4 linked regions of the Anolis sagrei genome follow. The protein of the gene in region 2 purifies or fractionates together with the protein of the main gene of each other region. This does not show direct contact. Links are inferred from orthologs where the notes say so. Each region holds a gene or a part of one and is shown on either strand. Other genes may lie near its edges. The genes, in order: SPRED2, SQSTM1, VDR and CD44.

The links.
Region 1: the proteins of SQSTM1 (region 2) and SPRED2 purify together in Homo sapiens (affinity purification with western blotting; 3 studies listed by BioGRID). This does not show direct contact. The link is inferred for Anolis sagrei from reciprocal best matches to the Homo sapiens genes SQSTM1 and SPRED2.
Region 3: the proteins of SQSTM1 (region 2) and VDR purify together in Homo sapiens (affinity purification with western blotting; 3 studies listed by BioGRID and IntAct, with this or other methods). This does not show direct contact. The link is inferred for Anolis sagrei from reciprocal best matches to the Homo sapiens genes SQSTM1 and VDR.
Region 4: the proteins of SQSTM1 (region 2) and CD44 purify together in Homo sapiens (affinity purification with mass spectrometry; 3 studies listed by BioGRID and IntAct, counting the BioPlex papers as one, with this or other methods). This does not show direct contact. The link is inferred for Anolis sagrei from reciprocal best matches to the Homo sapiens genes SQSTM1 and CD44.

What each region holds. Positions count from the first base shown.
Region 1 is NC_090021.1:154,161,797-154,169,421, forward strand, and holds the start of SPRED2 (sprouty-related, EVH1 domain-containing protein 2), read right to left. Parts: upstream 3,008-7,625; 5' UTR 2,590-3,007; coding exon 2,540-2,589; intron 1-2,539. UniProt on the Homo sapiens protein: Negatively regulates Ras signaling pathways and downstream activation of MAP kinases. Recruits and translocates NF1 to the cell membrane, thereby enabling NF1-dependent hydrolysis of active GTP-bound Ras to inactive GDP-bound Ras.
Region 2 is NC_090022.1:86,649,206-86,656,660, forward strand, and holds the start of SQSTM1 (sequestosome-1), read right to left. Parts: upstream 3,024-7,455; 5' UTR 2,937-3,023; coding exon 2,750-2,936; intron 1-2,749. UniProt on the Homo sapiens protein: Molecular adapter required for selective macroautophagy (aggrephagy) by acting as a bridge between polyubiquitinated proteins and autophagosomes.
Region 3 is NC_090022.1:191,049,247-191,056,336, forward strand, and holds the start of VDR (vitamin D3 receptor), read right to left. Parts: upstream 3,023-7,090; 5' UTR 2,773-3,022; intron 1-2,772.
Region 4 is NC_090021.1:268,957,936-268,964,774, reverse strand, and holds the start of CD44 (CD44 antigen), read right to left. Parts: upstream 3,014-6,839; 5' UTR 2,680-3,013; coding exon 2,613-2,679; intron 1-2,612. UniProt on the Homo sapiens protein: Cell-surface receptor that plays a role in cell-cell interactions, cell adhesion and migration, helping them to sense and respond to changes in the tissue microenvironment.

The sequences.
Region 1 (7,625 bases), on a different chromosome or scaffold from region 2:
CTTATCCATTCCTGGCCCAAGGTATTTTGAGAAGAATTACTTGCTGTCCTTTCTCCATTTTCAGACAGTGGAATGGGCACCAGTCAAAATCCTTTGCATAGATGTCTCAGATCACACTGAGGCAAGAGTAGTAGTAGGAAAACAGCAGTCACTTCCCATTTCTAGGTTGGAAAGGCCTGGAATAAGCTCCGCTGAGGAAGCCCAACTCCTGACCCGGCCTTGTGGCCTCCCAACACTCTCAACTCAGGCTGGATCTACACTGCCCTATAAAGCCCATTTCAGAACACATTATTTGGATTATATGGCTGGATGGCCATCTGTCAGGGGTGCTTTGATTGTTTTTTTCCTGCGTGCCAGGGGGTTGGACTAGATGGCCCATGTGATCTCTTCCAACTCTATGGTATGTGTCTACACTGGCAGATAATCCAGTGCCCTTCCACAATGCCATATAACCCATAATATCAAGGCAGATAACCAACAATATCTGCTTTCATAGAATAATAAGAGCTGGAAGAGGCGACATGGGCCATCTAGTCCAACCCCCTGCCAGCAGGAAAAGGACATCAAAATACCCCTGACAGATGGTTTAAGTTTCCAAGGAAGGAGCTTCCACCAGACTCCGGGGTCTTTTCTGCCTTGATATTCTGGGTTATATGGCTGTGTGGAAGGGCCCTCAGACAACCCAGTTCAAAGTAGATATTGTGGGATTTTCTGCCTTGATTCAAAGTAGATATTGTGGGATTTTCTGCCTTGATCTTCTGAGTTATATGGCTCTGTGGAAGGGCCCTCAGCTAACCCAGTTCAAAGCAGGTATTGTGGGATTTTCTGCCTTGATTCATAGTAGATATTGTGGGATTTTCTGCCTTGATAGTCTGGGTTATATGGCTGTGTGGAAGGGCCCTCGGATAACCCAGTTCAAAGTAGATATTATGGGATTTTCTGCCTTGATTCATAGTAGATATTGTGGGATTTTCTGCCTTGATCTTCTGGGTTATATGGCTGTGTGGAAGGGCCCTCAGATAACCCAGTTCAAAGTGGATATTATGGGATTTTCTGCCTTGATTCATAGTAGATATTGTGGGATTTTCTGCCTTGATCTTCTGGGTTATATGGCTGTGTGGAAGGGCCCTCGGATAACCCAGTTCAAAGTAGATATTGTGGGATTTTCTGCCTTGATTCATAGTAGATATTGTGGGATTTTCTGCCTTGATCTTCTGGGTTATATGGCTGTGTGGAAGGGCCCTCGGATAACCCAGTTCAAAGTAGATATTGTGGGATTTTCTGCCTTGATTCATAGTAGATATTGTGGGATTTTCTGCCTTGATCTTCTGGGTTATATGGCTGTGTGGAAGGGCCCTCGGATAACCCAGTTCAAAGTAGATATTGTGGGATTTTCTGCCTTGATTCATAGTAGATATTGTGGGATTTTCTGCCTTGATCTTCTGGGTTATATGGCTGTGTGGAAGGGCCCTCAGATAACCCAGTTCAAAGTAGATATTGTGGGGTTTTCTGCCTTGATACTCTGGGTTATATGGCTGTGTGGAAGGGCCCTCAGTTAACCTAGTTCAAAGTAGATATTGTGGGGTTTTCTGCCTTGATATTCTGGGTTATATGGCTATGCGGAAGGACCCTCAGAAACACACGCTGCTGCTGCTTCTTCTTCTTCGTGAGCCTGGGACTGTTCAGGAACGGAAAAGGGCGGCGACAGCCAGCCAGCCACCGAGTAAGTCAGTGAATGGAGGCAGCAGGCTGAAGGTTACCGGATTTATGAATGTCAGTGTCACGTGACAATAACGGGAAGCTGCCTGAGTCGCCGCCGCACGGGCGGAATTCTTATGAACGAGGAGAGAGAGAGAGAGACTGGCGGCCATCCCGACGCAGCCACCTTTCCCCGCCAACGAGAGAGAGCGCGGAGAGAGGCCTGCAACTCAGACAAGAGAGAGCCCAAACAACACAGGCTCCTGGGCCTCCTTTCCGCGCCGCAGGGCTGACTTGAGAGGAAAGTTTGGGCGCGTGGCCCCTCCTTCCTTCCTTCCTCTTCTCTCCCCTCCTCCCCCCCCCTCCAGGGAAGGGAGCGCGAGGCAGCCCGCGCGCGAACTCCTGCGGCCCTCGCGGCCTCTCCTGGCCAGAGAGAGCTCGAGTCTTGTTGTTTTTTTTATGAATGGAAATGTGGTATGCAAATGAGGCTGATTCAAGAAAGAAAGAAAAAAGCAGAAGACGGGGGTTGAGGGAGGGAGGGAAGAAGAAAGAAATGGCGGATGTGAGGGCAAGGGGGCGTGTGTGTGTGTGTGTTTACCCCCACCCACCTATCCCAAAACCTGAGGAGAAGAGGCTTGCAACTTGCCTCTTCCCCCCTCCCCCTCCCTTTAGGCCTCGCGGGCAGAAGAAGCCCTCAGGTCGCGCGCGCGCAATGGAGACGCAGAGCTCAATCAAGGACGGGCGCGCGAGGGGGGGGGGCGTCGCGAGCCCTTTCCCCCACTCCTTTCCCCCTCCCCCCTCCCCTTCCAGATGTTGTTTCCCGCCTCCTCATTTCACTTACTCGTCCGGGTGGGTGTCTTCGGTCATTTTCTCCTCCTGGAAGAGGCTCATCCCCCGCTGCGGGCGGCCCGCATTTTCTTCTCCCGAGCCTCACATTGCGCGGAAGGAGAGAGAGAGAGGAGAGGAGGAGGAGGGGGGAGGGGGAGAAAGAGGGGGTGCGCGTGCGAAAAGGGGAGGGAGGGGGGGAGAGAGAGCGTTGCCCGCGTGAGGCTCAGCGCGCGGGGAAGCAGCGCGGGCCCAAGAAGAGGAGCAGCCGGCGGCCCCCTCCGAGCCCCATCGCTGCCTTTACTCCATGTTGGATTCTTCAGCGCCAGCACTCTTGAGGAGGAGGAGGAGGAAGCGGGGCGGAAGCGATGACGTGATGTGAACAGCCCAGCTGCTTTCGTGAGCCTCCCCCCTCCAACAGAGCCAGGCGAGGAGCCTCTCTCCTTCCCTCCCTCCCTTCCTCGCGGGGCTCAAGATGGTTTGGCCAAGGTGCCTCCTCCTTTCGCCCCCCCTCTCTCGCGCTTCCTGGGCGCCCCGCCCCCTTTCTCTCTCTCTCTCTCTCTCTAAGCCACGCCCCCCTCCTCGTCGCGCGCTGGCTGGGATCTCCATGGCCCCGGGCGATACATTGAGCTCTCGGAGAGTGGCACACACGCGCGCGCGCGCGCGCCGCCCTCCTCCACAGTCGCCGCCTGGAGTTTGCAATGTTTTCTGCTGCCCTGAAGTCTCACTTCCAGGGCCAAAGAGGAGGAGGAGGCAGCTTTTGGGCGGGGCTTACAGGGAGGGAGGGAGAAGCGCTTCCCCCACACACTCGAAGGGGTTCTCAGGCCCCCTTTACACAGCTGTATAAAGTCCCACGTGATCTGTTTTGAACTGGGTTATATGGAAGTGTGGACTCAGGGCCCTTCCATACAGCCATATAACACAGAATACCAAGACAAAAAATTCCACAGTATCTGCTTTGAACTGGGATATATGGTAGTGTAGACTAAGGGCCCTTCCATACAGCCATATAACAGAATATCAAGGCAGAAAATCCCACAGTATCTGCTTTGAACTGAGATGTATGGCAGTGTGGATATCAAGGCAGAAAATCCCACATTATTTGCTTTGAACTGGGATATATGGCAGTGTGGACTCAGGGCCTTTCCATACAGCCATATAACACAGAATATCAAGGCAGAAAATCCCATAGTATATGTTTTCAACTGGGATATATGGCAATGTGGACTCAGGGCCCTTCCGTACAACCATATAACACAATATCAAGGCAAAAAATCCCACAGTATCTGTGCTGTCGCACGCTGGGCCTGTGCATAAGACTGTAGACAGGACATTATTATTATTAAACTTTATTTGTACCCCGCTAGCATCTCCCAAAGGATTCGATGCGGCTTACGCAGGCCGAGGCCTCAACACACAACATAACAATACAATCTAAGCAAATCAAACAATTAAAAACAGAATAAAGCAAAATGAACAACAGGCACAATACACTAAAACACAATAAAACTGGGCCGGGCCAGAGTAATGGGTACAAGAATTAAAAGTGCTGATGTGACAGGAGGTGTATATAAGGCTTCTGGGGCAAGTGCGATGTGCGATGTGCAGCAATCATTGGTTCTGGTAAAGTGCTTATGTGCCCAATGGGATGCTGGGGCTGCCTCAGATTAAAGGCCTTTGGATTTCCTTAAACAGAGTCTTTAGATTGCTCAAAGGTTTAACAAAGTTCTTTATGATTGAAATCAAACAGGAACTTTAAGGCTTTCTTAATAGTCTATTGGCTCTCTCTCAATCTTGTCCACTGGGAACAGGCACTATCTTCATAAACCGTATTTTAACAAATGGGGAAATCCTTAATTTCTAATTGGGCAGTCTGTCTTTGCCTCTGTTGGCACGGAGCCCCTACACCTGGTACCAACTGCTTCTGGCTTCCGCGAGTGACCCTTACCAAACAGAGCTTTATAGACCTCCAAGGAAAAAAGGAGGAGTTCAGGTTTCAGTGATGGTTGGCTGAAGTGCTGTGGGACCAGATTCCCTCAGCAAAGGAGCTGTAAGGCTGTATATCTCCCTGGCCAAGCCGTAGAAGACGAAGCTTTCTGCAAGAGCTCTTGGTTTTATGTCCTGTATGAAAGGCTTCTCTGTGTGGACTGAACCAAAAAGGCTCCTATTCCCTCAAAAAACCCCAAAAGGGGGCGGGACCAGGGAACCTAACTATAATTGACAGGTGGCTTGCCCTATGATTGCAGCCAAAAAGAAGCCACCTATCTGCAGAGTCCCTGAAACTTAGGACTACAACAAACATTCAATGCAAAGCAAACAAAATTAGAGCTCCTGGTACAGTTGTACCTGCAGAGTATTTGCTTTGAACTGGGATATGTGGCAGAAAATCCCACAGTATCTGCTTTGAACTGGGATGTATGGCAGTGTGGACTCAGGGCCCTTCCATACAGCCATATAACACAGAATATCAAGGCAGAAATTCCCATAGTATATGCCAGGGGTCCTCTAACTAAGGTCCCCTGGGCCGGATGCGGCCCTCCAAGGTCATTTACCCGGCCCTCGCTCAGGGTCAACTTAAATCTGAAATGACTTGAAAGCACATAACAACAACAACAACAATTCTATCTCATCAGCCAAAAGTAGGTCCATACTTCTCATTGAAATACAAATAGGTTTATATTTGTTAAAATTGTTCTTCATTTAATTATTGTATTGTTTTTAAATGTCTTTTGCGCTACAAATAAGATATGTGCAGTGTTCATGTTTTTGTTTCAAATTATAATCCGGCCCTCCAACAGTTTGAGGGACTGTGACCTGGCCCTCTGTTTAAAAAGTTTAAGGACCCCTGGTATATGCTTTGAACTGGGATATATGGCAGTGTGGACTCAGGGCCCTTCCATACAGCCATATAACAGAATATCAAGGCAGAAAATCCCACAGTATCTACAGGGTGAGGCAGCATAACTTCCTTTTTTCAAAATTTAATTCCCATTGTATGAATCAGATTTTAATTTTTTTTTTATAATGTAGGCACATACCTAAAGTTTTGTTTTACGTAGATCAAATTAGGTAGGTGACGCCCCCATTCTCCATACACTGAGTAAACCGATTTCTGGCGTTTGTCATGACTCTTGCCAGCATAGCAGGCGTTACGTTGGCAATTTCTTCCTGGATGTTGATCTTCAAATCTTGTTGGGTCCTTGGACAGTTCACATAAACACGGGATTTCAAAAACCCCATAGAAAAAAAATCACAAGGGGCCAAATCTGGAGGGCGGGCCGGCCACTCCAAATCCGCTCAAAAAGTAGGCCTCAACGGCAAAAGCACGCTCCTCACTGTTCCAACGCATGATGGCGACTGAACTGTGTCAGGACAAAACTTTATACTCCCGCCTCTCGAACGAGACCACTAGCGCTCCACTGCGTCTTCAGCAGACTGAATGGCACGCATTTAAAAAAAGGAAGTTATGCTGTCACACCCTGTACTTTGAACTGGGATATATGGCAGTGTGGGCTCACATAACCCAGTCAAAGCAGATATTGTGGGATTTTCTGCCTTGATATTCTGGGTTATATTGATGTGTGGAAGGGCCCTTGCCCCCCTTGTACACTACCATGTAATCCAGATTTTCAAAACCAATCACCCACATGATCTGCTTTCAACTGGATTATCTGAGTTTGTTGGTAGACAGAAAAAGAGATTTAAAGATGGGATCAAAGCCAACCTTAAAAACTCTGACAATACGCACTGCGAACTGGGAAGCTCTGGCCCTTGAGCGCTCCAGCTGGAGGTCAGCTGTGACCAGCAGTGCTGTAGAATTTGAAGAGGCATGAATGGAGGGCAAAAGAGAGAAACATGTCAAGAGGAAGGCGCATCAAGCCAAACCCGACCGGAACTGCCTTCCATCTGGAAACCAATGCCCTCACTGCGGGAGAAGATGCAAATCAATAAAGTGCTCTACAGTCACCTACGGACCCACCACAAACTGATCCTGGAGGACTATCCTACTCGGACAACAAGGGATCGCCTAACTATCTGAGTTTACACACACTGCCATACAATCCAGCGCAAAACAGCCCAATAACCAGAATATCAAGGCAGAAAATCCCACAATATCTGCTTTGAACCTGGTTATCTGGGGGCCCTTTCAAACAGTCCTTATATCCCAGGATCTGATTCCAGGTTATCCCAGGGCCCATCCACACAGCCCTATATCCCAGACTATCAAGGCAGAAAATCCCACATTATCCGAGTGTGGACACAAATAACCTAGTTCAAAACAGATACTGTGGGACTTTTTTGCCTTGATATTCTGGGATATTTGGCTGTGTGGATCGGCCCTCTGTTTGCAGTTCTTTTTTATTTTTAGAGGGCTTGTTTATGGCTTCCTCAAATAAGAAAGAAGAATCCTATGTGGGGTAATAAATCATGATGGCTATGTGTTTCAAATACACAACATGTGTATTTGAAACACTATTACATAATACTTATTGGGCAATTCTCCAAAACCTCACATGGATGTACAGTGGTGCCAGTAGTGATCGGCTCCATAGGATTTAGTGGCAATGTCTTCTCGTGTGAATGGCAAACATGGCACATGAGTTTGCAGAGTATGATGAAGCTGATGATCTAATAAGAGTGATTGCTTTTGACATACACAAATGATTTCCCAGCATGGTTTTATTACAATAGCACTGCAAAGCCATTGCTTCAGATCTGTTGCTTTGTATGTCATTTCTGGGTTCAGGACGTTTAGTGGCAACCAATGAAATAGTTCTCACTCAGCTCTACTCACTTCTCAGGAAACTAGCTAGGTTGGTGTTAGGGCAACATCTGGAGGGCTATATATGCTCGCCAGCCCTTCTTATTGAATTCATTTAGAAGAATGGGTTTTTTTACATGAATCCAGCTGCCATTAGTATCTTAAAAATACTCTCACTTAACACTGGCATCTAGGTTGCTGAAAAGAGCAGGAAGTAGATTTGCCTTTTGTGTAATGCTTTATTTAAGGCTTGGAAACTTCCTTTTACTCCCTTTGTTTCTAATCACAGCCAGCAGCTATATGGTGTAAAAAAGCCTTTGATTTAGAGGTTATATTTGAA
Region 2 (7,455 bases):
ATAATAAGGTGACAAGGCCTCCAGCAACTAGGTCCACCCCACACATTTCTGTTATTCGCTGCAGGATCGCATTTACAAGGAGAGGCACGATGTGGGTTATGCACACATTGTTAGGAAGCGGAACAGGCCATGGCCCGTAATTGTTTTTAATGCCACTTCATAACCCTGTAAGTTGTAACCTGTGCAAGTATTACCTCTGAACATGAGCAGAAGACCTTTCTAAACCAACTGCTAGAGCCAGTCTCCACTGGCAAGCTTTTAGGTGGCAGACTGCCATTTCCAAGCAGATCTGGGCCTTTAGTTCAAGAGACTGACCACTGTTTTAAATTAGTATTAAACTAGGCTGTGACACCTGTTCCACATTAGTACAGAATATCCAGCTGGGGTTGCCAACTTCTTTGTGTGCAAAGGCACTGGATTTTTAACTGCTTCTCGACACAAACACTCAGTAAGAGAATGCTTCCCACCATATAACCTTGTCACTAAAGCCTAATACCAGATGAGTTGCCACTGCTTGCTGCGTGCCTGTAGCACATTGACTTATGGTGATCCCGTGAGTATCTCTGGGATTTCTTCTTGTTGTGGTGAGCCTCCAAGTCGCAGGTGGCGGCCCTAAAGCAAATCTATCATGGGGTTTTCTTGGCACGGTTTGTTCAGAGAGAGACTATTCTCCAGAGTCCTAGTCCAATACTCAGAGTACTACACTACACTGGCTTTCTTACATGAAGAGTAATCTAGTTTGGCCAATTCCTCTGGAATATAATCTACAGCATGTATTGGTTGGCAGCCCCCCATCCAAGAACTAACCAGTCCTGAACCTGCTTAGCTTCCAAGGTCAGACAAAATCTAGGGTACTTAGGGGCCAAGTAGGGTCCTTTCAGACAGGCCCTGTATCCCAGGATCCGATCCCAGGTTTTCTGCTTTAAACTGGATTATAGGAGTCCACACTGCCAGATAATCTGGGATAAACAGAAAACCTGAAATCAGATCCTGGAATATAGGGTCAGTCTGGAAGGGCCCTTAGCCACGAGTTACACAGTGCTTCTGGACATTCAACCCACCCCCTCCCAAAACCATATCTGGCAGGAAAAGCAATAATTTCTAGCTGCCGCCGCCTTCTTCCTGGACCTTGATCTGCCACTTCACAAAGCAAAAGCCCAGCTGGTGAGGTGGAGCAATGTTTACCTTGGAGAAAAGAAGGCTGAGAGGGAACATGGAGTGGCTTAGACCTTGGAAAGAATGTCACAGCAAGGTGGGGGGGGGGGATTAGTACACAGAGCAATGGATTCAAATTGCAGGGAAAAGATCCCACTTAAAAATTAGGAATAGCTTCCTAATGGTATGAGCTGTTTAACAATGGAGTGCGCTGCCAGGGAAGGCATCCCTTTCCCTGGAGATTTTATATCCTTTTATACATCCCAGATTATATGGCAGTGTAGACTCCAAGCAGACAACCTGGGATCGGATCCTGGGATATAAGGACAGTGCAGAAGGGGCCTAAGTGGCCATCTGTTGGGAGTGCTTTGGTTGGGTGTTACTGAATGGACTGGGTGGCCATTGGGATCCCTTCCATCTCTATGGCTCGATTCTAGGGTTGGCAGTCCCTTGCTATATTTATTTAGTGGGACTGGTTGTGAATCCCATAACAATGGGATGCCAGATCATCTCCTTCCTTGGGAGCCTTCTAATCAGAGGCATGATGGCCATCTGTCAGGAGTGCTTTGATTGTGGTGGGATGGGGTTGCCAACTTCTTTGTGTGGGATTAGGGGTCCCTTCTATGGCTCAATTCTAGGGTTGGCAGTCCCTTGCTGTATTTAGTGGGGCCAGTTGAGCATCCCTTGACAACAGGATGCCAGGGAGAGCACCTTCTAATCAGAGGCTAGATGGCCATCTGTCGGGAATGTTTCCATTGTGTCAGGATGGGGCCGGATGAGCATCCCTTGACAATGAGATCCCAGGGAGAGCATCTCCTTCCCTGGGGGCCTTCTAATCTGAGGCTGGATGGCCATCTGTCAGGAATGTTTTGATTGTGCCGGGATGGGGCCGGTCGAACATCCCTTGACAATGGGATGCCAGGGAGAGCACTTCCTTCCCTGGGGGCCTTCTATTCAGAGGCTGCATGGCCATCTGTCGGAAGTGCTTCAATTGTGGCGGGATGGGGTCAGATTAGAGGTCCCTTCTATGGCTCGATTCTAGGGTTGGCAGCCCCTTGTTGTATTTAGTAAGGCTAGTTGAGCATCCCTTGACAACAGGATGCCAGGGAGAGCACCTCCTTCCCTGGGGGCCTTCTATTCAGAGGCTGGATGGCCATCTGTCGGGAGTGTTTTGATGGTGCCAGGATGGGGCCGGTTGAGCATCCCTTGACAACAGGATGCCAGGGAGAGCACCTCCTTCCCTTCTATTCAGAGGGGGCCTTCTATTCAGAGGCTGGATGGCCATCTGTCGGGAGTGTTTTGATGGTGCCAGGATGGGGCCGGTTGAGCATCCCTTGACAACAGGATGCCAGGGAGAGCACCTCCTTCCCTGGGGGCCTTCTATTCAGAGGCTGGATGGCCATCTGTCGGGAGTGTTTTGATGGTGCCAGGATGGGGCCGGTTGAGCATCCCTTGACAATGGGATGCCAGGGAGAGCACCTCCTTCCCTGGGGGCCTTCTAATCTGAGGCCGGGTGGCCATCTGTCGGGAATGTTTCGATTGTGGCGGGTCGGGGCTGGATGTCCCCTGGGGGCTCCCACATTCCTTGACTCACCCTTGTAGTACATCTGGAAGGCGCCGGCGGGTCCGGGGCTGGCATTTCGGAGCAGGCCTTGGAAGAGCTCGGCCACCTTGTCGCGGATGGGCTGGAAGCGGGGCGGCCTGTCGAGGGCGAAGCGGCGGATCTCGCGGGTCACCTCTTCCTTGCCTAACAGGTAGGCCTTCACCGTCAGCGGGGCCATGGCGCAGCAGGAATTCCTCCGGACCGGCTTTCTCTCTGCCCTGGGCTCCAGCGGGGACTGCCTCTGCGCCTTGCCGCCCGCCCCGCGGCTCCTCTTATAGGCGGGCAGCGGAGGGGCGGGCGGAGGCTGGGAAAGCCCCTGCCTGGGGAGGACGGGCCAAGGAACAGGCAGGGAAGGAGGGAGAGAGAGAGGGAGGGAGGGAGGGTGACGCAAGGCCAAGTGGAGAGACATCACGCCACTGAAGAGCCTGGCAGTTTCCAGAAAGAGAGTTTGGTTTGTTTTTGTTTGCAAAAGGGAGGGAGGAGGCAGAGCCCCTTCTACACCAGGCATGGGCCAGCTTGGGCCTTCCTCCAGGTGTTTTGGACTTCAACTCCCACAATTCCTAACAGCCTACCGGCTGTTAGGAATTGTGGGAGTTGAAGTCCAAAACACCTGGAGGAAGGCCCAAGTTGGCCCATGCCGAAAATGAAGAATGACAATGTATCAACAACAAGGAAGGAGGTGGAAACATAGAAACGCGTGGCCTGGGCTTGGGAAAGGGGGTTGAAAGCCCCCTTGTCAGCGTTACTCAGCACCTTCTAGTTCTCCAAGCCCTGCGGGGGAAACAAGGGCGAACTTTGCCCTGCCGCCTCCCTGGAGCCTCCCGAGGCAGGCGCCGCCTCTTTTTGTCCAATTGCTGACTCACTGCGCCTTGCTTCCAGTGAAAAGGTAGGTAGGCCTCAAAAGGCACCTGGCTGCCCTGCCTGGCCCCACCTTTCCCTTCAGGTGTCGGGCCCAGAAGGGCAGAAGGGTCCCAGGACTCACCAGCCCCTCCTGAATCACACCCAGGTGGGCAAAACTGGCCCCAAACTGCATCAGGACACATCAACACTGACCATTTAGTGCTGTTTCAAACCAGTATTGATGAAAACAGTTTCACTGTGCAAGTGTTTACATAGGAACCAGATGGAGACCAGGATGTTTTGAGACCAGGATTCGTTTATGTTTTGTATACACCATATTTATTTATTTATTTATTTATGTATTGTATTTGTATACCACCCTTCTCAGCCAATCGGCGACTCAAGGAGGTTTCCAACAAATCAGTACATATAAAAACATAATACAGATAAAAACATTAAACAATATAAATAACCACAAAAGCAATAAAAATCATTAGCGTCTCATTATTATCAAGCATTGTCCAGTTCCATTGTCAAATCTTTCCTATATTAGCTACTCTGCATTTGTAAACTCTTGCTCGAACAGCCATGTTTTAACTTGCCTCTGAAACGTTAAGAGGGAGGAAGCAGATCTAATCTCCATAGGGAGGGTGTTCCATAGCCAAGGGGCCACCACTGAGAAGGCCCTGTCTCTCATCCCCGCCAAATGTACTATAGACGAAGGCGGGACCGAGAGCAATCTTAGAGTCCCCAGACGATCTTAGAGTCCCCAATGATTCGTAAGGGGAGACACGTTCGGACAGGTAAGTTGAGCCAGAACCGTTTAGGGCTTTATAGGCCAAAGCCAGCACTTTGAGTTGGGCCTGGTAGCAAACCGGCAGCTAGTGGAGCTGGCGCAACAAGAGGGTTGCATGCTTCCTGAGCGCCTTTCCTGTTAGCAACCTGGCTGCTGTTTGTTGGGCTAGTTGAAGCTTCCAGACCATCTTCAAAGGCAACCCCACGTAGAGAGCATTGCAGTAGTCTACATGGGATGTATAGACTACTGTATATACACATAAGGTAAAGGTAAAGCTTTCCCTTGACATTAAGTTGAATCATGTCTGCTTCTGGAGGTTACAGCTCATCTCCATTTCTAAGTAGAAGAGCCAGTATTATCCCTAGACGCCTCCAAGGTCTGTGGCCAGCATGACTGCATGGAGTGCCATTAACTTCCCTTATCTATTGATCTACTCACATTTGCATGTTTTCGAACTGCTAGGTTGGCAGAAACTGGGCCCAGCTCCCTGGATTCGAACCACCAACCTTTCAATCAGCAAGTTTAGCAGCTCAGCAGTTTAACCTGCTGCCCCACTGATGTTTCCCAGAAGTAATATTATTTACATGTCTGAGTATGGATACAAACCCTTGTTTCCAGAATCAGTCCAATGATATTTTTTTCCATCTCAGGGGCAACTTGAGAAACTTCAAGTTGCTTATGGTGTGAGAGAATTGGCCATCTGCAAGAACGTTGCCCAGGGAATACCCGGATGTGTTACCATCCTGTGGAAGGGCTCTTATGTCACCACATTGGAAGCTGGATCTGACAGGCAGGAGCTCACTCTGCTCCCCAGCCCAAATGTGGGAGGCTTCTTTCATGTCCCTGCATGGAAAGCTGGAGCTAACAGATGGGAGCTCACTCCACTGCCCAGATTCAAACCGCCAACCTTTTGGTCCGCAGTTCTGCTGGCATAAGGATTCAACCCATTGCCCCACTGGGGACTCCTAGTCAAATTTCAAAACCATTACACACACTGGCTCATAGAAGATCATTAGTTACCTGCTGTCCTGTTACCTGGATAGAGTTCCCTTTCGAACACATGAACTTTGTCCATTCTCTTTCCAGAGGTTTCTGAACTCCAAAACGATAAGTTTGCTGTTTGTTATATTATCTGCTGAAGCCTGCCAAAGGGGAACGAACCCAGTTGAGAAGGAGCCCAGAGTCATACTCCAACCCTCAAATCACTTCATTATGGTGGCTCAGGATGACCGTTGCAGGCAGCCCCCAAGTCACAAACATCTAAATTTCAAACAACTCATAGTTAAGAATGGAGGTGAGACAATAGGAAGTGAGAGGAATCTGCCCGTCAGGAAGGAAATTCACTCCCGAAAGAGTTATCAGGGGGAAAATTGGTATCCACAGAAGCTTTCTCACCAATCCTTGTTTCCACAGCATACCGGAGGTTTTGAAAGCCAATTATCACAGTGACAGAAAGTGTGGTAAACTCAGAACAGGGGCACAGACAGCAAAACAAACACCATTTAGCTGTTCCATAGAAATTCAACTTAAGAACAAACCTACAGAACGTATCCTGTCTGTAACTTGGGGGCTGCCTGTATGAAGTTACAGTCCATGCCCCCTGATAAGGAAGTACGCTTTGTTAGAAGCAACCAGGTTCATTTCTGTGTATATACATATGATATTTATACACATATATTCGATATATGTATTTGTGTGTGTGTATACACACACCCAGTTAACAACTACATAAATAAAGGAATTTAATGGGAGGAAAGATTGTTAGGAAGGTATTAAATTAAAATGATGAATAGGTGATTCTGTTGGATGTCCTCATATCATCAATAGAAGCTCACACAGGCCAACCTATGTACAAAGGTGGAAAAATTCAGATCACTGATCTTCTATATGTACATTGTACAGTATATGTACATATCAGTGATTCTCAACCTGTGGGTCCCCAGATGTTTTTGGCCTTCAACTCCCAGAAATCCCAATAGCTGGTAAATTGGCTGGGATTTCTGGGAGTTTTAGGCCAAAACACCCGGGAACCCACAGGTTGAGAAGCACTATACTATATGATCCCCAATGTATTCATTCTTTCAAAGTTTTGGTAAGAGGTGCTGATAATTTTACATTGCATTCTACTCTGAAATTGAAATAGGCTGAAAATAAATATTCAATTCAAAGATATTAAGTAATTATAAATGATTACACAACCATTCTTTCAGTTCAGTGAGTTCTGCTTCTAAGAAAACATGCGTAGATGTAACAGGAACAAATAGAGCAAGCCATCATCTTTAGCGAGCCATAGAGCAGGAGTTGCAAATGAGTGGATTAATGCACATTTGCTTACTGTTCCAAATGGCAGTATTATATTTTTAGAAATAAGATCGGGCACACCTGGGAATGATTTGTCTTTTGGACCCCCTCTAGCAGCTGACATTTGATGTTGATACTAAGGGGGTTTTTTTAGACCTGTTTGCAAAAATAAAACAACAACATATTGTAGGAAGAGACATTTATATGTTGCCTTAATGGAGATTCCTTTTGTTTTCATGTATTGTAAGTCTTTGTTAGCTGAATCTAATCTGTGTGTTCTTCTGGACATGCTCTTCTAAAACCGAACCAGATGGCAGTGAAAACATTACTGACATTAGCTATGACATTTTGCAGACTGTGCGTTGCTCAGATACAGTTGGCCTGCATCTCAAGATGGTTTGAAAGAGATGTAGCTCACAAAAGATGCTGCCTGAACCCTTGGGGAAACTGAAAGCTGATAATGAGGAGGCCAGGTTTCTATTTCATGCTGATGGCCTTCTTCTTTTCTTTTATTCCTTAGCAATACAGGGACATTACTGGCACTTTGGGTGATGTGCAGTCTATAGTCATTCTATGCAGTGCTGAGCCAGTTTGGAATCCTGGGTTTTGCAGTTTTACGAGGTCTTTAGTCTTCCAACATTGAAATCACAATACCATGCGAGCTCTTAGAATTCCAGTATTTATTTATTTAACACCAAAAGCATTGCATACATAAGTTTAAAACTGATAAAAATAGAAGGAGCACAAGTGACTACATAAT
Region 3 (7,090 bases), about 100 Mb from region 2:
GAGGAGAGAGGGTGGGTTAAAAATAAACTATTATCATTATTATTATGTCACAGCAAATGAGATCTATATGCTGGATTTCATATCACAAAATCACAAGTCAAACACTTCCCAAGCGTCTAGGACTGTGTGATGTATTTTCGAATGATGCGTGCAGATCCAAGTAAGGTGGCTTTTTGCAGTTGACAGATCGTGATTTTGTCAATGTTTATTATTTCCAAATGCCGGCTGAGATTTTTTGGCACAGCACCCAGTGCGCCAATGACCACTGGGACCACCTGTACTGCTTTATGCCAGAGCCTTTGCAGTTCGATTTTGAGGTCTTGATAACGGCTGAGTTTTTCCTGTTGTTTTTCCTCAATACGACTGTCACCCGGTATGGCGACATCAATAATCCAGACTTTTTTCTTTTCCACAATTGTGAAGTCTGGCGTATTGTGTTCCAAAATTTTGTCAGTCTGGCTTCGAAAGTCCCATAGTATTTTTGCGTGTCCATTTTCTACTACCTTTGCAGGTTTATATTATTATTATTTTACTGACACAAAAACACAGTAAGTCACAGCAAACGAGATCTATACGCTGCATTTCGTATCACAAAATCACAAGTTGAATATTTCCTAAGCGTTATTGTTATTATTATTATTATTCTACACAACCATTAATAAGGAGGGCACGTCCCCTTTCCGGTTGTCAGTCTGTCAACCATATCTAAAGCCATGATCACTGAGGACCAATCCAAACAATTGACAGCCTAAGCAACATCCATCGCTTGAGAGTGAACACTACAGGGTCATTTTCTTCTTAGGACACGTCCCCTTTCCGGCTGTCAGTCCGTCAACCATATTTAAAGCCATGATCACTGAAGACCAATCCAAACAATTCGACAGCCTAAGCGACTCTCACCTATCCATCTGGATAGGTGAGAGTGAACACTAGTGTCATTTTCTTCTTAAATTGCGACAACTATGTGCAGAACTATGTACTGGAGAGTTGCTCCTTTGGATTAAAACTCCCAGAATCCACACTGCCCTATTGTGGCTGAGGATTTTGGGAACTGAGGTGTAAATGGGGCTCTGGATATAATGCACAGAGAGATGTAATCGGTGTCATGCACCGCTCTCCTCCCGTGTTGCCGCTTTGCAGTGCCTCCTTCCTCCCTTCGCTGCCATGTTTTCCTGGCCTTCTGAAGAGGCCTCCTTCCTCACAGTGTCTCCTTGGCAACGGCCTGGCCTTCTCAGGGCCTCCCTGGTGACGCTCTAGCACATTTTCCTTGATGGTTTCTCCTCCTGGAGCCTTGCTATCTATACACTGCCCTCTTGTGGTCATATTTAAACACTGCATCCATCATTTTTTCACTTTTGGGGGTCCTGTCCTCCAAAGAGGCCATGTTTTCAGTCGAAATCCCTCCATTGTTTTAAGTCAGGGAATGAAGGGTATGTGCGCCAGGTTTGGTCTAGATCCACCAAACCGCGTAAGAGCCTTTGTGGTACAAACCAACACATATAAATACATAGATAGGGTTGCTGTGAGTTTTCCGAGCCGTATGGACATGTTCCAGAAGCACTCTCTCCTGATGTTTTGCCCACATCTATGGAAGGCATCCTCAGAGTTTGAGGGGGTCAGTTGGAAACTAGGCAAGTGGGGTTTATATATCTGTGGGATGTCCAGGGTAGGACAAAAACGATTGTTTATGTGAGGTAGGTGTGACTGTTTCAATTTGCCATCTTGATTAGCACTTAATATGTTTTATGTAATCATGATGTTGTTGTTTATTGTTTGCGTTTTTGGTTTTTTATTCTGCTGTAATTTGTTGTTTGGGCCTGGCCTCATGTAAGCCACCCCGAGTCCCCATTGGGGAGATGGTGGCGAGGTATACATAGAATCATAGAATCACAGAATCAAAGAGTTGGAAGAGACCTCATGGGCCATCCAGTCCAACCCCCCGCCAAGAAGCAGGAATATTGCATTCAATGCACCCCTGACAGATGGCCACCCAGCCTCTGTTTAAAAGCTTCCAAAGAAGGAGCCTTCACCACACTCCAGAGCAGAGAGTTCCACTGCTGAACGGCTCTCACAGTCAGGAAGTTCTTCCTCATGTTCAGATGGAATCTCATTTCTTGTAATTTATTATTATTATTATTATTATTATTATTAGCCTTGCAGCTTCAAAGCCTGGCTGCTTCCTGCCTAAGGGAATTGACATTGCTAGTTAGCACAAATGTATGGCTGTCCTTTTCGAATACGACGCCTGGCAAACTATAACTGAGAACGTGAGGCAAGGGGTGCATCCACACTGTAGAATTAACGCAGTTTGACACCACTTTAGCACAAATGTATGGCTGTCCTTTTTGAATACAATGCCTGGCAAACTATAACTGAGAATGTGAGGCAAGGGGTGCATCCATACTGTAGAATTAACGCAGTTTGACACCACTTGGAACCGCCTTGGCTCAATGCTATGGGATCCTGGGAGTTGTAGTTTGATAGGGCAAAGAGAGCTAACAACCTCATAAAACTACAATTTCCATGAGTGCGTATCATTGAGCCAGGGCAGTTCCAAGTGGTATCAAACTGCATTAAGTCCACAGTATAGACGCACCTATGAAAGTTACTGACAATGTAGTAGTAGTAATAGTCCTCTGGAGAACATATAAAAGGCGGGAAAGTTATACATAAATCCATCCCTTCTCCCAACCCTTTTCTGATCTCAAACTCATTCCCCCAGTAACAACCATCACAATCACAGCCGCCCACATGATCCCAACTTTTATTTACCGGCTTCTGCCTTTCTCCGACTGAGGTCTGCTTCTACAACGTCGCCGGACACGTCCACACGCGCGCCTACACCAGATTCGCCTCGCCTCAGCTGCGCGTGCGCAGAATCCCCCTCTTTAACTTCGCTCCCGGTCCCGGCTCTCACTCACTCCCTCAAAGTCCCGCCCCCGCTTCCAGCAACCGCCTATTAACTGGAAACGAACATCTTCCTGACCACGCCCACTTCCCAAATCGTCCCCGCCCTCTAGGAGAGCGGGGCTCTGCCTTGGCTCCTCCCCCTCAAGCCCATGGCTTTTAGAGGCCCCGGGTTCTAGCCCCGCCCCTTTCCTGCTCCTCTTCTCCCACATGTGAGGGCTCAGGGGGCGGGGACAAGCGAAGCCTCCTCTCGTGGCCCCTCCCACCCTGACCCCGCCCCCTTCCTGAAGTTGGAACTCAACTTCCAAGAACAGGAAACTGGGAGTCAGCTCTCAATAAGGGATACACTCTTCACAGCTGAGCATGCTGGATGTCACAACTGTAAGATCCCAATAGGAGAGAAGTGTCCCCAAGTGACTAAGGGCCCTTCCAGACAGGCCCTATATCCCAGGAGCTGAACCCAGGTTTTCTGCTTTAAACTGGATTATATGAGTCCCCACTGCCAGATTTTCTGGGATATAAAGTGAAGCAATTAAGGGGGCTCAAACCAGGTAGAGCAGGTAATGAAAGTGTTAAAGAGATATACACTATAGTTTACAGCAGGGGTCCTCAAAGTTTTTAAACAGAGGGCCAGGTCACATTCCCTCAAACTGTTGGAGGGCCGGATTATAATTTGAGAAATCAAACAAATATGAATTCCTATGCAAACTGCAAATATCTTATTTGTAATGCAAAACAACTTACAACAATACAATAATTAAAATGAAGAATAATTTTAACAAATGCAAACTTATTAGTATTTCAATGGGAAGTGTGGGCCTGCTTTTGGCTGATGAGATAGGGTTGTTGTTGTTGTGTACTTTCAAGTCGTTTCAGACTTTGGCTGACCCTGAGCGAGGGCCGGGTAAATGACCTTGGAGGGCCGCATCCGGCCCCCAGGCCTTAGTTTGAGGAGCCCTGGTTTACAAGAAACACTGGTATGAAATGGCATCATTTAGACCATTGGGATGTACAGTTTTAAGGGTAAAAATCCAAAACAATTCACGTTGTAATAATATTCTGGGGTAATCAGAAAACCTGGGATCAGATCCTGGGATATAGGGACTGTCTGGAAGTGCCCTAAATGGACTTTAAGAGGTGGGGGTTGGAATTCCGATTAGATCATCATTATAATTTATATAGCTTTTAAGTAACCACCAGAACTACTATTAAGTTTTAAAGAATGTGTATATATAAATGATATACTGTTCATCTCTCTCTAATGAATACTTCCTACCTACCTGTCTATCTACCTGTGTGTATTTATTTGTTATTAAACCACTGAGCTTGTTGACCGAGAGGTAGCAGGTTCGAATCCGGGGAGCGACATGAGCTACCGCTGTCAGCCCCAGCTTCTGCCGACCTAGCAGTTCAAAAACACGCAAATGTGAGTAGATCAATAGGTATCGCTCCGGTGGGAAGATAACGGTGCTCCATGCAGTCATGCTGACCACATGACCTTGGAGGTGTCTACAGACAATGCCAACTCTTCGGCTTAGAAATGGAAATGAGCACCAACCCCCAGAGTGGGACACGACTGGACTTAATGTCAGGGGGAAACCTTTACCTTTACCTATTTATTTTTTATTTATTTTACTCTGCCTTTCTCCGCAACTGGACCAAAGGTGGCTTACAAACATATATGTAGAGATATATAAATGCCAATCTGAATCTCTCTTCATCCAGTTTTCTTCATACATTTTTTCTTCTTATTTTAACCTTGTTCATATTAAGATTCAACTGGCCTGGATTGTGTAGCCATAAAATCTTCCCCATGGCCTGTCAAAGATGTTTGCTGGGCCCTTCTTTGCCCATGTCATGAGTCAGACCTAGAGAATTATATAAATAATCTATATTAATAAAAATGTAATGTTCGTTTGTGGGATTAACATAACTGAAAAACCACTGGACGACTTGACACCAAGTTTGAACACAATACACCTATCAGACCAATGAGTGAACATCACTCATAAAAACACTGAAAAACACAGCAGAAGAGACATAAAAGGCCAAAAAACAAAAATTAATTACAACAAATGCACAAAACCATATATATATATATATATATATATATATATATATATATATATATGGTGGAGACATCTTTTCCCCATGATAACTCTTTCGGGAGAGAATTTCCTTTCTGAAGAATAGATTTCTTTCACTACCTTTGTGTGTGTGTAGGTACGTTTGTGTATATGTTCCCCTAGAATTTACTTCCAGTATCCCTATGGATACCAAAATCCATAAGCTGTCAAATCCCATTATGACATAGTAAAATGATGTTCCTTGTATAAAAATACTAAACAACCAAAAAATTGTGTTTCACAGATGCAGTCCAGGGGAAATTCATTTAAAAGTCTCAAGTTAACAAGGAATCTTTTAAATTAATTAAATTAAATTAATTAAATTAAATTAATTAAAGGAATAAGTTCTTGTGTTATTTTTATAATGACTCTGTTTTGGGTTAAGTTTATTTATATATTTTCATTTTGGTACAAAGGATTCCTGAAAACTGTAGATTTGGGTAGAGTGTTAGGAGTCTTACTAAAATACCTAGTACAATTTCATGTTCACATAGCTGTAGATGCATAGCACTTTAGGCCACAATAAAGTATAGAGTATGAAGTAAATAAAATGCACATTATCACAATGCAGTTACTATGCAATTGAAAGTCTTGCTTTTGGGCCAAGTCAGCGTTTCATAAATGAAAAACAGAACATGCATGGCCTAGCACCAGAGCAAGATAGGAAAAGGCATTAATGAGGGAAAACAGACCAGTTAGGAGATGCTGCCACAGATTGCTTTTGCCTGAGCTGATAGGGAAGCAGAAAACTCCAGCCATCCTTTCCTCCCACTGTGATAACTGAATACTAACTACTTCTGCATTTTTGTACTGGTCTCCTGGGCTGTAGTCCAAGATTATGGAAAACTCTGGCAGCTCCCTTCTGATTTCAACGTGGTTTGGCACTTTCCCTTCTCTGGCTGAAAGGACACAATTTGTACCTTCTGTGTGGCGATCAACAGGTTAGTGAGGTAAGCAAGGCACCCACACGCATGGCTTTTTGTCAGGAAGGAAACAATGCGTCACCATAAAGTATGTACCAAACAAGAAACAGGTATTTCGTCAAAAAGTAAAGGCAAATTATTGTTTACTTTTGGACAACACAGACATTGTTAATGGTCTGTGGTGAAAGAAAGAAAAAACTGTTCCCAAAACTCTGGAGGATAAAATATTATCAGGCTAGGATGTAAAGGGACATTTGTGGTGCTTCTTTTTCTGTGGGAAGGGAAAAAGAAACCATTTTCTCTTATCTTCACCCACTCGTCTACAGAAGCAACGTCCTGGTGGGAAAAGCTAATGCATTGCCTTTCCTAGGGTGCATCTACACTGTGGAATGAATGCAGTTTGGCTCCACTTTAATTGTCATGGCTCATTGCTAGGGAATCCTGAGAGATGGAGTTTGTTGGCAGAGAAGGCTAAATAACTTGTAAAACTGTTATTGAGCCACTGTATCCCCTTTCCAAATTAATCTGGACCAACAGAAGACTCCACAAATATATGTATGATTTCTAAAGCAGCTGAAATCCTTGGGAGGACCTAGCAGCAATTGTACCCCAAACTATCTAATTAAACCATTCAATAAATGTACTGAATCATATTTTGGTGTATGTTTGTGCTGTCGCGCGCTGGGCCTATGACAATGTTTACAGGACGTGCTTTCTGTATGCCCAACGGGATGCCGGGGTGCCTCAGATAAAGGGTCCCATAGGTTTCCCAACACAAAGTTCTTTATTAAGGTGTAAATCTTCGAATAAATGAATTAAATTCTATATAATCTTGAAAAACGGGTAGCTTTTTCGATCTGCCAAAAAGGGACAGGCAACTGCTTGATAAACTGTTCCTATCTTCTTTAGGGAAACCTTCTGACCCCTCCTTGGGCAATCTTTCTTTACCCTGCTGGCGTGAGGCCCCAACTCCCAGCTCCAAGCTGCGTTATGGATAGCCCGAGTGGCCCCTTAACAGGCAATGGTTGCTGTAGCTCTGCCAAGCTGGTGTCCTGTAGATTTGTCCCACGAAGGCCATGGAACCATTCCTTTATTTTCCAGCAAAGCTGGCTGTATTTTCCTTTTTCCCCAGCA
Region 4 (6,839 bases), on a different chromosome or scaffold from region 2:
TTGGAAATGGCAAAAACAAGAGCACATGAAAATGACATTAGAGCAAACATCCTTAAACTGTTATTGGGGTCTCCAACTCCAGAATTCCTGACCACTGAACAAGCTGGCTATAGCTTCTGGGAGTTGGAAACCCAAACAGCTGAAGAGTCACAGTTTGAGGATGCTTGAGTTAGAGAAACGAAATCTACTCAAGTGGTTTTACCTAAACAGTTGGTCTGCTTTGGTGGTACCTAAGGAACTGAGCTACTGTCTTCCACAACTTATTGTGTCATGTAATATGGAGTGTTGAGAACTGCTAGGATTTCTATTTGAAATCCCAGCAGCATGGCTTATTTGAAGAAAGTGTAATGAAATTTTAACAAGAAGAGAAGGCAGGTTCTATGGTTGACCAAAAATAGCATAGAAAGTAATGATGTCACCAGCTCTCCCAGTATGAGTGGTTTCCTTCAAACATTTTCAAGTGTGGCATTGGAACAGTTATGAATCTCCAACACAACTTCTGGTAACTTATAAACAGAAATCATGGATATTGAATCTGTGAATAATGGGGTCAAACTGTATATGTTGAACTGAGAAAAAGTTAAATGTCGATTACAACTTTGTGAGCTTCATGAATAATCAATAAACCTTGGAAAAGTTACTTAACTGTGCAGTCCATAAAATCTAAGCCAGCAATGACCAGCTAGAGATTTCTAGAATTGTGGTCAGAAAGTAATTTTTCCAGGCTTTGACAAATCCAGCTTTACTTTCAAGTCTCACTAGCCTCTATCCAACACTATGGACTAGAATTCTATATCACATTAACTGGCTATCATAAAAGTAATATAAATGCTTTCTCTAGAGAGAAATTCCCTAGGGAGCTGAAAGTTATTTGAGAGAACCTTCACATCCTACCTGTTATTTACACATATATTTATTTCATTCAATGATATTACATTTGGCCAAAATGACATCGCAATACTGTCCCTTGAAAATAGGTTTACTGGAGATACAAATGGGGAAAGTATTTATACCACCAATGATCTTAACTCCATGAAAAAGCCACGGTCCTTAGCTCAGTGTGGGGTGGTGAGGAGAGATTTTCATTTGCAAAGCCATTTGTGACTACAAAGCTTGCCTGGAATGTACTGCATACCAACAAAAATATTCTGTAGCCATATCATAATACTTTGTTAAGCTTTTAAAAAGTTTCCAGTGAAGCATAGATGGAGCATGATATACATTTTGTTAACCGCACCAAAGAGTAGAACACATGGGGATAGTGGCTTTCTTCCATCTGTTCAAGAAAGCTTATGCCCAACATAATTGCAGGCTACAGTTACTTACTGAAGTTCTAATAGTTCATAGAAGATCAATGCTAAGTAAATAAAAGTATAACTAATCTACAGAATACATGTATATGCTACATGTATTCCAACATTTAAATCACACAAAGGTATCATATATCTCACAGAGAGCAAGAATGCTGTCTTATATATGGGAAATGCACACTCAAGTATCTGACTTCTTTTAAAATGAAACACACAATAATCACTGGGACAAATGCAATACTGGAATTTTTTCCCCTGATGATTCCAAAACGTGTTTGGAACTGTGTGCTCTGACACACCCATTTGCAGAGCTACAAGCATGCTGCAGTTTATTTCTAGATGCCCAATTAAATATAAAACTATCAAGAAGGCAATGAAAAAGTGTTTTGTTAGCCTCCCAGGAACTGGTTTGGGAGGGGAAATAAGGGGGAAAGGATAATAGATTCCCTTCAAAGCAGCTCAAGGCAATTTCTATTAACAATGAGTCTCTGTTAAAGGCACAATTATTACTCGTACTTCTGTATCGCATCAAACTTTAAGAGCATTTTATCATTTTGGGCATAGACATGTGATTTTTCTTAAACACATGAACCACTTTCATTCTCCAAATAAGCATTTGATTTCATTATTCACGGACGGACTTCAGAAAACTAGTTTTAGAAAATGAGTGATCCTCTCTTACTCTGACTGCAAGTTTGCTTCCAAATCTCACAGCCCTTGCTCAGATTAAGAGCTTTTAAAATGAGCTAGCATTTTCAACTTTTTCTCTTGAGTTAAATGCTCACATTTTCATCCCTGTTACAATGAAAAGAAGGCATTACAGCTTCTGCATGTCTTATGTATGCAATCACATCTTTTTCACAAATACGTGAACACAAAAATACAGCTATTGTAAGGCAGAAGTCATTCCATCCCTCCCAAACACACACCAGACTGTCTGCTTCACAGAAAGAAAGCATCAAAAATAAATACATAACTGCGGTTTCCATCACTGAATATAATCCAGATGTGTTAGAAGCTTTTTCATTCCCTAGTATATACTGTTAACTTTAACTATCAATATTCTCCCTTCAGTTTTTATAACTTCTGCATTTCTATACTTTTCTAACTTATATACAGAGGCATTGGTAAAACAATGCACATGTTACAGTTCAGTGTCATGGTCATTGGAGAAACAGTGAAATGTCAAAGAAACTGAACATGCCAGAAATTCTCCAGCTGCCAAACTGCCACTGTTTTGTTATCGAAAACATACGAAGAGAAATCAGCAAGTATGAGAGATTTCATTCATAAGTCACTTACCTATCTGTGCTGAGCAAAGCTGCAACAAGTAAAGTCCAACAGCTGCACACAACCAGAACTTGGCCATTGTTTGCTCCTCGGGTTAATGTGCAAAAGGCAAGAAGTTCTCCTCACAGCCTATACAAAGGAGAGACGAGGGGTGGGGGAGGTCCCAGGTCTTGTCAAGTCTGCTCAGAGAGCCAGCCTCTGAAGTTTGCTGCAGTTCTTATTCCAATTCAAAGTAACTGAAGGAGTGACTTAAGAGGGAGGGGAGCAAGATGAGAAGTCACACCCATGTTGAAACAAAAGTGACTAGGCAAAAAGGGGAGGAGAGAAGGCTACTACTTATGAGTAAGCACAGTTACTAGCAACATTTAATGGAGGCTGTAAATGGCTTTTACTCATCCCAGTGAAGTCAGAGGGACAGTTGTGCTGGAAAAGATGTGCAATGCCATGTGGTTTTGGAGAGGGAGGGAGGGAGGCTCTCCCAAAGCTTATTCAGGCACCTAGAATTATTGATTTTCTAAAATGAGCTTTAATCCCTTTACCCTTCTCTCTCCACCCCACCCCCCCTACATGTTCACTGCAATAAGCAGAGAGCACAAGCAAGAAATGGCATTACATTATGGCTCTGCCAGGAGTCTTCTCTTGATCCAATCATCTCTGCAGCAGACATCATAAATCCATTTATGTTTCTATGCAGCTCTGCAACATCATCCACCAAAAGTGTATTGCATATTTCACAGAAGACGGGGATATATTTTTTCATTAGTTTTCTTTTTGTGGTTCTGAATCCAGAAATGAAATGTCTATATAAGAACCAGGATGAAATGTGCATACTCCAAATGCAGGTACCATACACATATTTCCCCAGGGAGAGAACCAGATAGCATAAATCAGAATCCCAGACCTCTTTAGATTACTATAACTAAAACAAGCCTAGTAAAAAAATTAGAGAATGGGAGAGAATTAAATTTCATTTCCCAAGGCTGGACCTACAATTTGGCAAAGGAAAATGGCCACCTTCATCCACTGGCATGAAGTGTTGATCAATGCAAAGCTGGGATTTAGTTTTAGGACTCTCTGTGGATGTTCAAGTTCCTTTATAAATAGCAGCATAGTGAAATGGTTTCACTTATATAAAATGGCAAAATCAAGGCTTGCTTTGGGGCATTTTAAAAAAGTATTTTCAAGCCATGGATGGTTATATTTGTGGGTGCAGAATCCATGGATGTGGTGGTCTGCCTGCATTAATGTTAAAAATTTAATAACAGTGAAGAGTACGGGAGGATATTTTTTTGACCTATGTATCGAAATGCAGTACGAGGGGCCATGGTGGTGTAGTGGGTTAAATTGCTAAGCTGCAGAACTTGCTGACTGAAAGGTCAGCAATTTGAATCCACAGAACAGGGTGAGTTCCTGTTGCTAGCCCCGGCATTACCAACCTAGTAGTTTGAACACATCCAAATGTGAGGAGATCAATAGGTACCACTGGCAGGAAGATAATGGCACTCCATGCAGTCATGCTGGCCACTTGACCTCTTCAACTTAGAAATGGAGATGAGCACCACCCCCTAGAGTCAGACTCGACTAGACTTAATGTCTAAACCTCAGCAGACTGAAAGCCAAAACCAAGGTTACAACAACATCTGTTATAGAACTCCAGTATGCTGATGACAATGTTATCTGTGCGCATTCAGAAGAAGATCTACAAGCCACTCTAAACACCTTTGCAGAAGCATACAAGAAGCTCGCCCTGTCATTGAACATCGAGAAAACCAAAGTGCTGTTCCAGCAGTTACCAGCCAACCCCTCTCTAATGCCAGAGATACAGCTTAATGGTGTAACATTAGAAAATGTTGACCATTTCCACTACCTTGGCAGCCACCTCTCCACCAAAGCCAACATTGACACCAAAATACAACACCGCCTGAGCTCTGCGAGTGCAGCATTTTTCCGAATGAAGCAGAGAGTGTTTGAGGACTAGGACATCCGTAGGGATACCAAGGTGCTTGTCTATAAAGCTATTGTCCTCCCAACCCTGCTATATGCCTGCGAGACATGGACTGTCTACAGATGTCACATGCAACTCCCGGAGTTGCGCTGCCTCTGGAAAATCATGCAAATCTCTTGGGAAGAGATGACAAATATCAGCATGCTGGAAGAAGCAAAGACCACCAGCACTGAAGCAATGGTCCTCCGCCATCAACTCCACTGGACCGGCCACATTGTCCGGATGCCCAACCACCGTCTCCCAAAGCAGTTACTCTACTCCGAACTCAAGAACGGAAAACAGAATGTTGGTGCATAGGAAAAGAGATTTAAAGTTGGGCTCAAAGCCAACCTTAAAAACTCTGGCATAGACACTGAGAACTGGGAAGCCCTGGCCCTTGAGTGCTCCAGCTGGTGGTCAGCTGTGACCAGCAGTGCTGCAGAATTTGAAGAGGCATGAATGGAGGGTGAAAGAGAGAAATGTGCCAGGAGGAAGGCGCATCAAGCCAACCCCAACCAAGACCACCTTCTACCTGGAAACCAATGCACTCACTGTGGGAGAAGATGCAGGCCAAGAATAGGGCTCCACAGCCACCTATGGAGCCACAAGAATACAGATCATGGAAGACTATCCTACTCGTCCAATGAGGGATCGCCTAAGTAAGTAAGTAAGATTTAATGTCAAGGGGAAACCAATACCTTTTTATCAAAATACGGTAATTGCCCACCCTGGGTAGTATGTTTATATAATTTATGATAGTGGATGGAAAGCTACTACTACTTTGTATCAGCAATGTCTTAATCCCACACTGTCATAATTTCAGAGCCGTCCCACACAGGCTTAATTGTTTTGAAATCAAGCAGGAAACTATGACTTCTGTGAATAATTGCCCCATATTATTTCAAGAACCATCAGCTGTGGAAGAGCCTGAAATAATTAACTATTTCAGGCTCAACTAGCAGCCTTTGTAGCAGTTTAAATTAGGAATATATCGTGATATATTCCCAATTTAAACAGCTACAAAGGCTGCTATTTGATTCCTGAGAAAAACATAAAATTGCTATGTTGTTGCAATTCTGGATCATATGTATTTGATAAAATGTTGGGGGATCCTAACCACAGAACTCCCAAGTTACATCTAATTAATTACATACTGAAATGCTTGTTTTTGTTCTTGTAGATTCAAATGCTATTTAAGATAGACTGAACACATTCTATTAACAATAAATACAAACAAAACTTATTCCAAAAGGCACTTATAGAACTGTCCTCCACCCCAAAAATCTCCTCATTCATCTTGTTAAAAGAGACATTTTTGGCCAATTTAACCAACAGCACTTACATTTTGTGTTGACTTACCAAGTTCCTGTTAATTTAGTGAGACTAACGATTATAGTTAAACCAGAGAAACCATCTAGTTCAGTATTTGGATTTGACAGTTAAGGGTTCATCTACACCAGTGGTTCTCAACCTGTGGATCCCCAGATGTTTTGGCCTTCAGCTCCCAGAAATCCTAACAGCTGTTAAACTGACTGGGATTTTGGGAGTTGTAGGCCAAAACACCTGGAGACCCACAGGTTGAGAACCACTGATCTACACTTTGTACAGTTTGACAACACTTTACCTCTCATGACTTAATGCTATGGAATCATGGAAGTTAGAGTTTCACAGGGTCTACAGCTTTCTCGGCCCAATAGTGCTGGATCCTCACTCCAACTCCCATGATTCTATAGCATTGAGCCATAGCAGTTGCACTACTGTCAAACTGCATTAATTTTATTGTGTAATATTAGTTTACTATCTGTGAAGTTCACTCCTGGAAGTAGGCAGCTCCTGGAGCCCTTCCACCCCAGCCCTATATCCCAGATTATCAAGGCAAAAAATCCCACATTATCTGAGTGTGGATTCAGATAACCCAGTTCAAAGCAGATATTGTGGGATTTTCTGCTTTGATATTCTGGGATACAGGGCTGTGTGAAAGGACCCTCAGATCATAGAATCATAGAATCAAAGAGTTGGAAGAGACCTCATAGGCCATCCAGTCCAACCCCCTGCCAAGAAGCAGGAATATTGCATTCAAATCACCCCTGACGCAATTGATATGCAGATATGCACATCGATTTCTCACTCTTTCTCTCAATTCCACCTTCCTATGTCTTCATTCTTCTTGTTATGTGACATCAAGTCATTTCCAATTTATGGTGATCCTAACATGAACTTATAACAGAGTTTTCCTAAAAACATTTATTTAGAGG